Linked DNA regions of Callithrix jacchus. The protein of the gene in region 2 interacts with the protein of the main gene of each other region in a pairwise test. Links are inferred from orthologs where the notes say so. Each region holds a gene or a part of one and is shown on either strand. Other genes may lie near its edges. The genes, in order: ERBB3, HDAC6 and ERBB4.

Region 1 (3,525 bases), on a different chromosome or scaffold from region 2:
AAGGCCGACATTCATTCTGAACATCTGGGTACTTGTAGATGGGGCCTTTGGCACCTAGGACTCCATGGGGGCAGCTACTCACACAGTGGGGCCCATCTCGAAAATGGGCACATTGAACACAAGTATCAGAGCCCTGAGTGGAAGAGAGAAGGTCAGGATGAATCAGATCCAAGGTCAATTCCATACCTCCCAGCAAAGACCAGCCCAGACATTCCGAATCTTCTATCTGCAGACCCTAGCATTATCTGTTCTCTCTGTGCTCTCCTTAGTCATATCATTCCCCACATGCTCCAAGTATTGCCCCTTCTCTGTCTCCCTTGGAGATCCTGGTGCTGCTACTATACCGAGCCATTGCATGTGGCAGTTCCCTCCATGGGCTGGCATTCCGGGTGGCAAGAGAAGCATTCGGACTCATGGGCAAACTCTCGGGGCTCCCTGCATCGGGGAATAAAGGGAGGGGGGTCACTTCCAAGTCCTGACCTTCATGCCCTGATACCACAACCACAGGTCTCCTCTCTCACTCCCACCAAGGCATATGCAGAAAGCTTTCTAAAGGCTTTTATTATATGCTACCTGAATAGTTCCATTGCAGGGTCTCACCCCCACCCATCTTTGACTGGCTCCCATCACTGTACCCATTCAGAAAGTTGCAGTGGGTTACACAGACACCTCCTCGGCTGTAGTTTCGACAGGACAAGCACTGACCAGGGCCCGGGCCCCAGCATCCCCCAGAGGAGCACTGTGGGTCACACACTTTGCCCTCTGCCACTGGAAAAGAAAGGATAGATTAGGAGAGAAGTCTGAGGACTCCCAGCCGGCCCTCTCCTCATTACTCTTTCTTGTTACTGCTTCCATCTTAACATCCCCCTTCTCCTTGATTCCATCCCTCAACCCTACTCCCACGTGTGGGCAGATGAATCCTTCCAGCCCTCTCCTCCCTGACTCCCTGTTCTCACCACCCAGCAGACCCTTTCCCTCACCGCATTCTCTGCGGGGCCGATTATGCTTGATGTCTAGTCGCTCTTCTGAAGGCCCCCGAAGCAGTTTGGTCCAGTTCAAAGAGTGGTGGTAACAGAGCTGCCGATTGGCACTTATATAGATACGCCCAGCACTGATTTCCTTCAGGGATCGGAAGCCCAGAGATGTGACATTCAAGTTCTTCATGATCAACAATGAGAAGCCCCGGCTGAGAATAAGGAGATAGGATGAGAGGAGACTACTAAGGGAACATCAACTATGCAGTGGATTCATGTTAACCAAAAATGTGCTCAGTGCTTAGTCAGATCACTGAGAGGGAGTCCCCTTCCTTTTGCCCTTTCCTCATCAAACTCTGAAACCCTTTGGTTTTGAGGCACTGCTGTATGTATGAGACAGTGCCTTGTATTTTACTCAAGAATGCCTATGACACAGGCTTCATTGCCTGGAGATGCCATTTCCTCCATACCCTTTACTCACTTGTAGAGGCTTCTGCCTCCAATGGTTGTCAAGTTGGAAAAAACACTGAAGTTGTGCATGTGGGGAGGCCAGGACTGGATGTTCAGGTAACCTGAGGAGTTGGAGAGAGGCAATATGGGCAGGGAGCCTGCTTTATTGGGTTCTCCTGGCTCCTCCCCTGTAACTTGGGATGTGATTTTCTCAAGTAGTTACACCGCAATTTATGCCAGTGGTTCACCTATTCTAGAAAGGGCAAACTCTCAAGGCTGGGCGCGGTGGCTCACACCTGTAATCCCAGCACTTTGGGAGGCTGAGGCAGGCAGATCACCTGAGATCAAGAGTTCAAGACCAGCCTGACCAACATGGTGAAACCCTGTCTCTAAAAAAACATAATAAATAAAATAAAATAAAAAAAGAGAGGGCAAACTCTCTGCCACTCACCTGTGATCTCCTGTACTGTCTGGAAGACATTGAGCTTCTCTGGGTCCAGGGCAGGTATCTTGTGCCAGGGGTCTCTGAGAAGAACAGCAGAAACCAGTCAACAAGGTAAAGGTTATACCTTTACCTTGATTACCAGTGTCAATGAGCACACACAGCCTCAGAATTTGGTTTCTTTTCTTTTCTTTGAGACGGAGTTTCACTCTTGTTGCCTAGGCTGGAGCGCAATGGCACAATCTCAGCTCACTGCAACCTCGGCCTCCCGGGTTCAAGTGATTCTCCTCTCTCAGCCTCCTGAGTAGCTGGGATTACAGGCATGGGCTACCACGCTCGGCTAATTTTGTATTTTTAGTAGAGATGGGGTTTCTCCATATTGGTCAGGCTGGTCTCGAACTCCCGACCTCAGGTGATCCACCCACCTCAGCCTCCCAAAGTGCTGGGATCACAGGCATGAGCCACCACGCCCGGCCTTCAGAATTTGGTTCCTAAATATTATTCTCTACTAAAAGGAAACATTCCTCGGAGAAATGGCTGGGACAGGGGAACTGTAATATGAGCCTAGAGCATCTTGTGCAAACAAAGAAAGACTTAAAGAACTAAGCATACAGCCCAAAGAACACAGGAGCCAGCTTGGAGGGGCTCCCAAAGGCCAGATCAGGGACACCTAAACACCAAAATAAATGATTGTAAAGGATTATAACCATTGACTAGAATAAAATAAGTATCCAAAAGAGTAAATAAATAGGAAAGAAAGACTTTTTTTTTTTTTTTTAAGAGACAGGGTGTCACTCTGTTGCCCAGGCTGGAGTGCAGTAGTGTGATCATAGCTCACTGTAACCTTGAACTCCTAGGCTCAAGCAATTTTCCCACTTGCTCCCAAAGTGCTGAGATTACAGACATGAGCCACTGTGCCCGCTGGAAAGACTGTTCCTAACACTAGAATGCCAACAAACACATGCAGAAGAAGTAATGGAATTAGAAAATCATCATTTGGCAACTATCATAACAATAATTGATTCAGGCAATTATCCCAAGACGTTTAATAATAGCAAATGGAAAAAACAGTAACTTTACAGTAGAAAAACCTGACAGGTTTTTCTTAACTAAGTGACCAGAGACATTATTGTGAGTGCTGGGGCAAATCAACATCACGTGCATCCTCAATAGGATGCCCTGAGCTCACAGCCTCTGTGGTGTTCCTGTCAAACTCCAGCCTGGAGACAGTGCATGCCTGTAATCCCAACACTTTGGGAGGCTGAGGCAGGAGGATCGCTTGAGCTCATGAGTTCGAGACCAGCCTGGACAGCATGGTGAAACCCTGTCTCTATAAAAAACATAAAAAAAACCAGCCCTGAGTGCTGGTGTGCATTTGTGATCCCTGCTACTCCAGGGGCTGAGGTGGGAGGATCACTTGAGCCCGGGAGGCAGAGGTTGCAGTGAGCCGAGATCATGCCATTGCACTCCAGCCTGGGCAATAGAGCCAGATCTTACTTATCTCAAAAAAAAAAAAAAAAAAAAAACCTACAAAAACTTGAATCTAATCATGAGGACACATCAAACAAATCCTAACTGAAGAACATTCTGCCCATTAACTAACCTATATTCATTAAGAATATCATGAAAGATAAATAAAACCTGAGAAACTGTTATAAA
Region 2 (4,195 bases):
TTATTGTCTGTCTTGCCCCTTTTCCCTGAAAGCATGGGCTTTTGTTTCTTTTGTTTACTGCTGTATCCCCTGCTCCTCAATAGACATTAAATAGGTATTCCATAAAAGAAGTCTTTTGCCATAATAAGTTAGTCTTAGGTTGGAATAAGGGATATAGATATCAATTGGTCAACACACAAGTATGACAATTAGCACACAATGCCATGGGCTAGGAAAATAAGATCAGGTATTGGGGTAGGGTTTGGCCAGGCAAAATCCTCTTTGAGAAAGTCTCATTGGGATGTGAAAGGTAACTGGAAGAGAAGAAGATAGAAAGGAGTCTCTGGGAAAGGGGTTGGCCAGGGTACAGACTAGAGACAAGAGGGTGCCTGGCATATTGGAAGAATAAGGGGACAAGTGTCGGTGAGGAGGATTGGCTGATGAAGTCACAAAGTGAGGTGGAGCCAGATCATGTGGAACCTTTGAGGCCAGGATGAAGAATATGGACTTTACCTTGAGGGTAACAGTTTGCCCTTAAAGTTTTTTTTTGAGACAGAGTTTTGCTCTTGTTGCCCCAGGCTGGAGTGCAATAGCGTGATTTCTGCTCATGCAACCTCCGCCTCCTGGGTTCAAGCGAATCTCCTGCCTCACCCTCCCTAGTAGCTGGGACTACAGGTGTGTGCCACTACACACAGCTAATTTTTGTATTTTTAGTAGAGACGACATTTCACCATGTTGGTCAGACTGGTATTAAACTCCTGACAACGCAGGCAATCCATCTGCCTTGGCCTCCCAAAGTGGTGGGATTACAGGTGTGAGCCACCACACCCGGCCTCCTTAAAGTATTTAAACAAAGACAACATCATTTCACACATATTTTTTTTACGTTGCTTTGTGAACAGACAATAAGGCAAGGCTGGAAGCAGGGGACCAGGGAGGAGGCTTCTGGAAGTCTAGGTGAGTGATGATGATCGTGGCAGTGGAGGTGGTGAGTTGAGGTCAAATGGTGAATATAATTTAACATATAGCCAAAAAGATTTGATGATTCTTTTTGAAAAGTAAAGCAAATGGGAGGTCTTTTCCTCTAGAAAGGCTCCTGGGAAGCCCGGATACTAGTCTAGGATCCTCTATTACACACCCTTGAATCCCTCTGGTCTTAAATTTGTCTTCATTAAATACCTCATACTGCTGTTGACTGTTTAAGACTCTGCCCTCCTACTCACCCAATCAGTTCCCAGAGAAGGGACCCTGTCTGTTGTTTGGTACATTTGTATCACTAACTCTTGGCACACAGTAGGCACTCAATAAATGTTTGTTTGCTACATAGAAAAACCCTTTCAAGTGTGAGCCCTACCTCCCCAAATCACCTGCTTCCAGTATCCAGGCTGGGGTAAGAAAGGATTTGTTCTTGCTAATGGGCTCTAAGTGTATGTATTTTTGTGATTTGGAGACAGCCTGGAAGATCCAGCCTCACCTGTCATCCCAGAGGCAATGGAATTCGTTTAGCTGCTCATCCAACACCAAGCCAGTGCCAGCCAGTGCTTCAGCCTCAAGGTTCAGATCCTGCAGAGGAAAAAAAAGGAGACACAGATCCATTTTAGGCCTTGAGTCAGAAGGAACATCCTAAACTGTCCACGGTGGGGAACCTTTGGGTTTTGATTGTCATACGAGGCTAAATTGCAGCCAGGCCCTGCTCACCATCCCCTGCAGTCCCACGATTAGGTCTTCTTCGATTGCTTGGCCGAGCTTCTTCATTTTGCCTTTCTTCTTTACCTCCGCTAGATTGGGGATGGAGCGGGGAACGGCTCCCTTTTTAATGTTTCGCTTCTGCGAATCAGAGAGAAGGGTCAGAGTCCAGGGCATGGCCAGCTTGCTCCCTCTCCCCTCCTCAGGGCGGGTCTAGGGCCTCACCGATGTGACACTGGAGTCCTGAGGAGACGACTGGGGGTTCTGCCTACTTCTTCGCTGCCTGGTTGTGGTGGAATCCTGGCCGGTTGAGGTCATAGCTGAGGAGGCTTTGCCCCTGTCTCGGTTCTGGGGGGGGGAGGCGTGGGTGTGTGAAGGGGCAAGTGTGCCCAGAGGACTCCGCCCCCTCTATTAGATTCCATTCCTTACGCGATCTTTTTCTCCACAGCCTTCCAAACTCCGCCTCTCTCAGGCCTTCTCCCTCCACTCAGGTGGCCATGCTACCTGGACCCGCCCGGTCCGCTAGACTCCACCCCTTTACATGATTCTTTCTCCGGTCTTGCCCTTTCACTGAGCAATGAGCCCCCTGGCTCACTCAATCCCTTTTAGGGCCCACCCTTTCCAACCAATCACCACCCCTTCCACTCTCCCAAGCCCTTCCCAGACCCTCTAAGCCCGGCCCGGACCCCATTCCTTCACGTACCTGCCCTTTCGGCCTATCTCCCAGGATAATCACCCACCCTTTCACTCAGCCCGCCCCGGCCCCGGCCCCGGCCTCAACTCCACCCTTAACGATTCACTTAACTCCACCCCTTATCGGGCCGGACCGGTACCTTCCACTCTGCCAGATCCCGCCCCTAGCGTTTCAACCAGCCCCGCTCCTTAGGGGACTGCCCCGTTCCTTCACCAGCTCCACCCCCTGCCCGGACCGGACCGCTAACGTTTCGCTAAGCCCCTTCAGCCAGTCCTGAGCGCCTTCAGTCGGCCTCCACCCCCTTCCCGCCTCCGCTGTCGACGCGGCCAGTCCTCGCCGCTCCACTCACCGGGCGCAACCCCTTTCTCAAACTCCGCCCTTGGCTCGCTCCGCCAAGTTCCTGGCGACCCGTGGGGACGCGAGTGTCCGGGCCTTTCTTTTCCATTGGGCCTGGTCTCTCGACTGCCCGCCCAGATCCCGCCTTCGGAAGGGAACGTGCCTCAAGGCCGCGCCCCTCGCGCGAGCCACACCTCTCGCGATCTCACAGAAGGCGGGATGGTGCGTCGGCGTGCTACGTCACTGTACTGTGCCTACGTAAAAGGCGCGCGCCGTTGATTCGCGACCGGGCTGCGGCGCAAGCTCTCCACTCCCTCGATTACCATCGCTGTCATCCTGTATGCCATAGCCGCCGCCCCTCTGTCCCCGTCCAGTCACTTAGGAGCCCTCCAGGCCAGCGGTGTCGCGAGAGCAAGCAAGGAAGCGTGGGAATTAGGAAGGGCTTCTTCCCTCTTCCTCGGGACTTCCTGCGCGACGCGCCGTGATGACGTAGCGCGGGCGGGCTAGTTGTGGATGGGCCGAGAGCGGGGTTGCCACTGGACGTTGGCTGGTGGCGGCCAAAATAGGCGTGGTGACGATGCTAAATGTTGTGAGGATTTTTCGAGTTAGTATTCAGTACGGTGGTACACAGGAAGCACTAGCCGAATGTTAGCTATTAATATTTTGCCGCAATATTCTGGGTGAAAGGAGTCTTAGTGGGGGCAGGGAATGGTAATGATAGCAAGTGTGTGACAGGCATCGTTGTAAACCACAATTCTATGAGGTAGTTCCCATTATTAAGGCTGCTTTGCAGATAAGGAAACTGAGGTTACGGGACTTAACCATGTGACCTTGGGCAAGTTACTGAACAGCTCTGTGCTCCGTGTCCTTATCTGGAAAGTTGTGATAATAATAGTACCCAGGGCCAGAATGGACTCGAAGAGGGGAGTTACTCATGGGCAGCAGCTCTCCCTATCTGCCCCCTCCGACGGGTAACCTCTGCTCCCAAGGAGTAATAGAAAGTGTCTGTGTGCCCGGGGAGTCGGGGGAGCTGTCCTTGGGAACCCCCTTCCCCGCAACTCCCACTCTGGGTCTAAATGTCAGCTCTGCAGGAGGCCGGTTTGTCCTCCTAATCTCCCTCTCTCATTCTCCACCATTTCCTACCGGTCTATAAGCTGGAAACGGAGAGATAAGCAGTTCGCAGTCCGGGGGTTCAGCGTCGCAGACTGACAGATTGACGGTCTCACCGCCCAGTAGCTGTGCCCTCTGATCCTTTTGAAGATGCCAATTCCTGCTGCCTCTTCCCTTTTCATTCCTCCTACCTGAACCTCTTTTGTCTCAGCGCAAAAGAGTTGCAGACCTAAGACTTAAACTCCTACACTCACCAAAGAAAACACATACAATGATACACACACACAAATTCTAGAGTTGTGGTACCTGGAACATAATAGAGTAGGGAGTCTTGCAAAGGGTCAAGGCCCATTTTTCTGTTGGATCAGAAGAGAGGTTCCTGTGGAGCAG
Region 3 (4,213 bases), on a different chromosome or scaffold from region 2:
TTACAGTTTCCACTGGATCACCTTAGTATGCGTGTTGCAATTATACCAGGGATGCACCCGAGAGCTTTTCTTTGTGCGGCCCTTTCATCTGGATCACTTTGTGTTTTGAACAAGTGAGACTCGCCTTTGTGCCCCCAGAATTTCAAGTACAGAGTCACACATGGAACAACAATGGCACGCTAATCCTCGCGCTCTAAATGGGCTCACTTGTGGGTCTGACAATTCGCCCAGGGAAACGAGAAGAGAGGAGCGAGACGCTAGCTGGTGTCGCCTGAGCCGAGGAAGAGGACAGCTGCAGAACTAATTTGGATTACATTCCTTGCTGAAATTCTGAAAAGGGCTTTTCGGCATAGCTCAACCCGGAGCCGCACAGTTAATACCAAATTGCTGCGGACTCGGAGCGGGGTCCCCCAATGGCAGAGGCTGAACCAGACAGTCCCCAGTAGGTCGCCTCGTAGAAATTCCTCTCGGTTAAGCCTGCATGTCGGTCGCCACTGCCTTTGAATGGGTCAATGTGCATAATCAACCCATTGAGGGGAAATATGAAGGGACTCGAAGTGGGGAGGGAGATAAAAAGAGATGTATCTAAGAGGCCGCTTGGAATGTCAAGTCCGTGTTGGTATGATTCCGGAGGTGGCTGGAGCGCGGGACCTGGTATGCATGAAGAATTTCGGAGTAATTGGGAGGGTGCAAACCGCCAGCACAAACGCCGCACATGTGCCATTCGAAGGTCATTTTGAAAGGCTCGATGATTGTAACTTGTTATTTACTAGGCAAAGGAGGAGGAGGTGGCGGCGGCGGCGGGGGCGGAGCGGGAAAACTACAGCTTGCTGTTTTCTTGGTGAGGTCAGGATACCCTACAGGGGCCTAAAGCTCTCCCTATCGCCACTCCCGGGGGCTTTATCACCTCGAGCTACCTCCCACGCTCCAGTCACCAGCCCCGGATGGTTTCGGAAATCTCCCTGGCTCTCCAAAAGCCACCCCTTGGCCGCGTCAGACAGCGGTCCTCCTCAGACCTCTCCTGTCCCACTTTCATCCCAAGAAACTCAAGTGTCAGAAACTTTGAGCTCCCTTGCACTGCAGGTGCTGTCATTAGTCCTGCACGCCGTGGTGCGCCAGCCCCGCCGCGCTGTCTCTCGGGGTCAATGAGCCCTTTGCCTGCCCAGGTACCTGGGGTTCGAGCTCTCTAGCAAGCAGTGGCCGTGCACCCAGCACCGCCGCCGCCGCTGCTCGCGCCTGGGGTGGATCCGGTGACCCGCAGGCTGGGCAGCACCGCGGGGCAGTAAACAGACAAGTTTGAAGGACTCCGGCCAACAGCAAGTAGAACTACAGGAAGAACTCTTCCCGGAGCCAAACACGGCAACCGACGGGAAGGCCGGGCTTCTGGCTCGAGTGTGCCAACCCTTTTTTTCCCCCTTTTTTCTTTTTCTTTTTTCAAGGTCAGGCAGGCCAGCAAGCGCCCCTGAAGTCATTGGGGCAAGGGCTCCGGGAAGCTGGCAGAGGAGGCCCGGCGCTCCGGTCCCCGGGCCGAAGAGGGCCAGCCCGCTGCACTTCGGCTGCCCCGGCTGGGCGCTAGTCGCGTCTGACCCTACAAGGCTCGGGTGACTGGGGCGCAGAGGCCGCCGGCAGCACACACAGGTGCGCAGCCCGACTCTCGGAGCGCCACTCTCCACCTCCCTTCAGGCTGGGTTCGGGAGAGGCCCAGCCAACACCGCCCTGGGACTCCAGCCCTTCCGCGGCCCCGGTGGAGCGGCTTCTTCCCTCGAGAGCCCAGAGTGGGACAGGAGAGTCTCCTCTGACTGGGGATTTCCGTCTCCCATGTCCCGAACAACAGGCGCCACCATAAGGGATCCCGCTTAGGCTCCACACAAAATGCTCGGGAGAGAAACATAGGGGGTTACGGAGAGAAAAAAAAGGGACAGGGGCTGAGAATGATTTTTGCGGTAAACAAAGCTCGCGCACACATACAGGGTAAGTTTCGAGTGGAAAGAGGGGCGACCGAGAGCCCCCGGTCAAGCGGTCCCTGCACGCCTCCCGGGATGGGTGAAGAGGGCAGGGGAGCCACTCGAGGCAGCCCCTCCGGCGGCGGCAGGTTTGGCAACCGGAGCGCCAGAAGGAACCCACCTGACTGAGAAGCGCTGGGCTGGACGGTCCCTGCCACCACGAGAAGGCTCACCCAGACCCAAAGTCCTGTCGCCGGCTTCATTTTTTGGAAGTCTCAGATCCCGTGCTGACAGTTACATGTCCAAATGGCATATCCCCCTTTCGGGCACGCGGAGGAGATCCCACAGCCGGGCGCGCGTGGGGGCGCGAGGGGGGCGGGCGCGGCGCGCGCGGTGTAGCAACTCCCAGGGCGGGCGACAGAGTCCACGCCGGCAGGTCCAGGGCCGGGGCCCGAGGAGGGGGCGAGTGTGCGTTCGAGTGTGAGCGCCTGTGTGCGCGTGGCGCTCCGGGCCGGACTGTGCAGCTATTTCCCCGCGTGAGCCTTCACTTGCTCGCTCCCTTCTCACTTTCTCTCTCTCTCTCTCTCTCACTGGTTGGTCAACAATAAAAAAGGAAGAGGGGGAGAAAGGTTTCCAAAAAAAGTTGATTGCAAAGAGGCGGTAGGTTTCCGGCCTCTCCCCACAGCAGGGCTATGTTGGGCTGCTTCTTCAGTTTCCGTGCACCTTCAGTCCAAATCGGGAGGGGAGCGGGGCGGGGGGAGGTTCTCGCTTCTCCCCGGATCCCGTTCTTCTTTTTCCTGTCAGCTTTCCTCACACTTGTCCGGCGGCTGCAGTAATTAAAGCTCTGAGCGTCATTTCCAACGCTCCGCGGTCTCCAGCTGCAGCCCCACAGAGAAATTAATAAGACTCCAGAAAAAAAAAAAAAAAAAAAGGTGGGGGGCGGTGGGAATAAAACAACCCTCCAAGCAACCAGGCAGGCTCTGCTCAGCCGCTCAAACCCCGCCCATGCTCTGACCCAACTAGCCACGCCCTTCCCCCCCCCCAAAAGGGAAATCTTATTGGCTCAGCCACTCCCCAAAATCCTAGGGCCTCCGGAGTTGGGAAAACACCTGTCAGGGAGAGGGAGCCGCGTGGTGGGGGCAGGGGAAGCTGGATTTAAAGGGCTCATCCGAAGCCACGCACTGAAGCACTCCTCTTCCCGCCCTGGCAGAGGCCGGGGACAGCTGGCCTGCGAAGTGAACAGACCATCGGAGGGGCGCTTACGGAAAAAAATTTTTTTTTTTTTTTTAAACAAGAAGGCAGCGTTTTTTCCATTGCCCCCCAATGCTCCTCTACAGACAGGACTTTCTCTAGAAATAAAAGGAAACTCAATGTTGCTTTCAGCAAAAAGCTTCCTCCTGCAGCACTCTGCCACTCATGGTCCACAATTAGAAAGTAGTGTGATCAGGAAGTAACTGGTAGCCCCTGCGGTTAGGTAGTTGTGGGTGTATAATCACCAATCACCACCCTGGCTCCAGCCCCAGTTATGCCATCTCTCTGGTTCTTCCCACATTTCCAAACTGACCATCATTGAGCCAAACTAAAATTTCACATTTATAAACCCTTATCCTTTGATTTTTAGATTTTGTGGGTTTTTCACCTTTGGAGTTCATTCTTATTAAGCAGATTCTTGTCCAAAGCCACTGATTTGATCCTAAAGGGCTAGAAATTGTCTCAAGCCTGAGAGAATTTAAGGACACATCAGAACATTATTAACCTTAAATGATTCTGTTTATTCTATAGTAGACCTAGCTTTAGGCCTCTTCCTTGTCCACACTCTGCATTCAGGCTCCCCAGTCCTGAGGCCATTGCTAGTTATGAGCATCTCTGACCTTTTCTGAATCTAAATATTCTGGGACTGGGTCATTTCAATGTACATATCCCTTGCCTTTTACAGCTATGAAACTGCACCCTGGCAAGGGCCAGAATCTCCTGGGGGTAGTAGGTTATTGGTTTGCTATTTGTACAGGCATTCTATGTATGAATTACTTTCCGTTTTTGGTTTTTCTAGAAGCAGCAAATATATAAATAAAAAGTATCAGGGGAGCTTAAAAATCAAACCACCCTGCTTTTCATTAGAGATCTTGATCTCTGTTTCCCACTCTCTTATCTATAGCCCCATCCCTCAAGAATTTCCATGGAACTGAGAACAGATAGGAAGTACAGATGCCTGAAGCCTGAAGCTTTCCCTTTCTTAGACCTACAGCAAATAACAGGCTCCATGAAGACGC

Evidence for each region.
Region 1: the proteins of HDAC6 (region 2) and ERBB3 interact in a protein complementation assay, tested with the Homo sapiens proteins (2 studies listed by BioGRID and IntAct, with this or other methods). The link is inferred for Callithrix jacchus from reciprocal best matches to the Homo sapiens genes HDAC6 and ERBB3.
Region 3: the proteins of HDAC6 (region 2) and ERBB4 interact in a protein complementation assay, tested with the Homo sapiens proteins (2 studies listed by BioGRID and IntAct, with this or other methods). The link is inferred for Callithrix jacchus from reciprocal best matches to the Homo sapiens genes HDAC6 and ERBB4.

The regions. Positions count from the first base shown.
Region 1 is NC_133510.1:63,577,611-63,581,135, forward strand, and holds part of ERBB3 (receptor tyrosine-protein kinase erbB-3), read right to left. Parts: intron 1,950-3,525; coding exon 1,876-1,949; intron 1,547-1,875; coding exon 1,456-1,546; intron 1,187-1,455; coding exon 981-1,186; intron 769-980; coding exon 636-768; intron 436-635; coding exon 345-435; intron 134-344; coding exon 1-133. UniProt on the Homo sapiens protein: Tyrosine-protein kinase that plays an essential role as cell surface receptor for neuregulins.
Region 2 is NC_133524.1:49,380,660-49,384,854, reverse strand, and holds the start of HDAC6 (protein deacetylase HDAC6), read right to left. Parts: upstream 2,824-4,195; 5' UTR 2,805-2,823; coding exon 2,709-2,804; exon of another isoform or gene 2,095-2,708; intron 2,014-2,094; coding exon 1,891-2,013; intron 1,807-1,890; coding exon 1,678-1,806; intron 1,543-1,677; coding exon 1,454-1,542; intron 1-1,453.
Region 3 is NC_133507.1:134,244,891-134,249,103, forward strand, and holds the start of ERBB4 (receptor tyrosine-protein kinase erbB-4), read right to left. Parts: upstream 2,820-4,213; 5' UTR 2,207-2,819; coding exon 2,125-2,206; intron 1-2,124. UniProt on the Homo sapiens protein: Tyrosine-protein kinase that plays an essential role as cell surface receptor for neuregulins and EGF family members and regulates development of the heart, the central nervous system and the mammary gland, gene transcription, cell proliferation, differentiation, migration and apoptosis.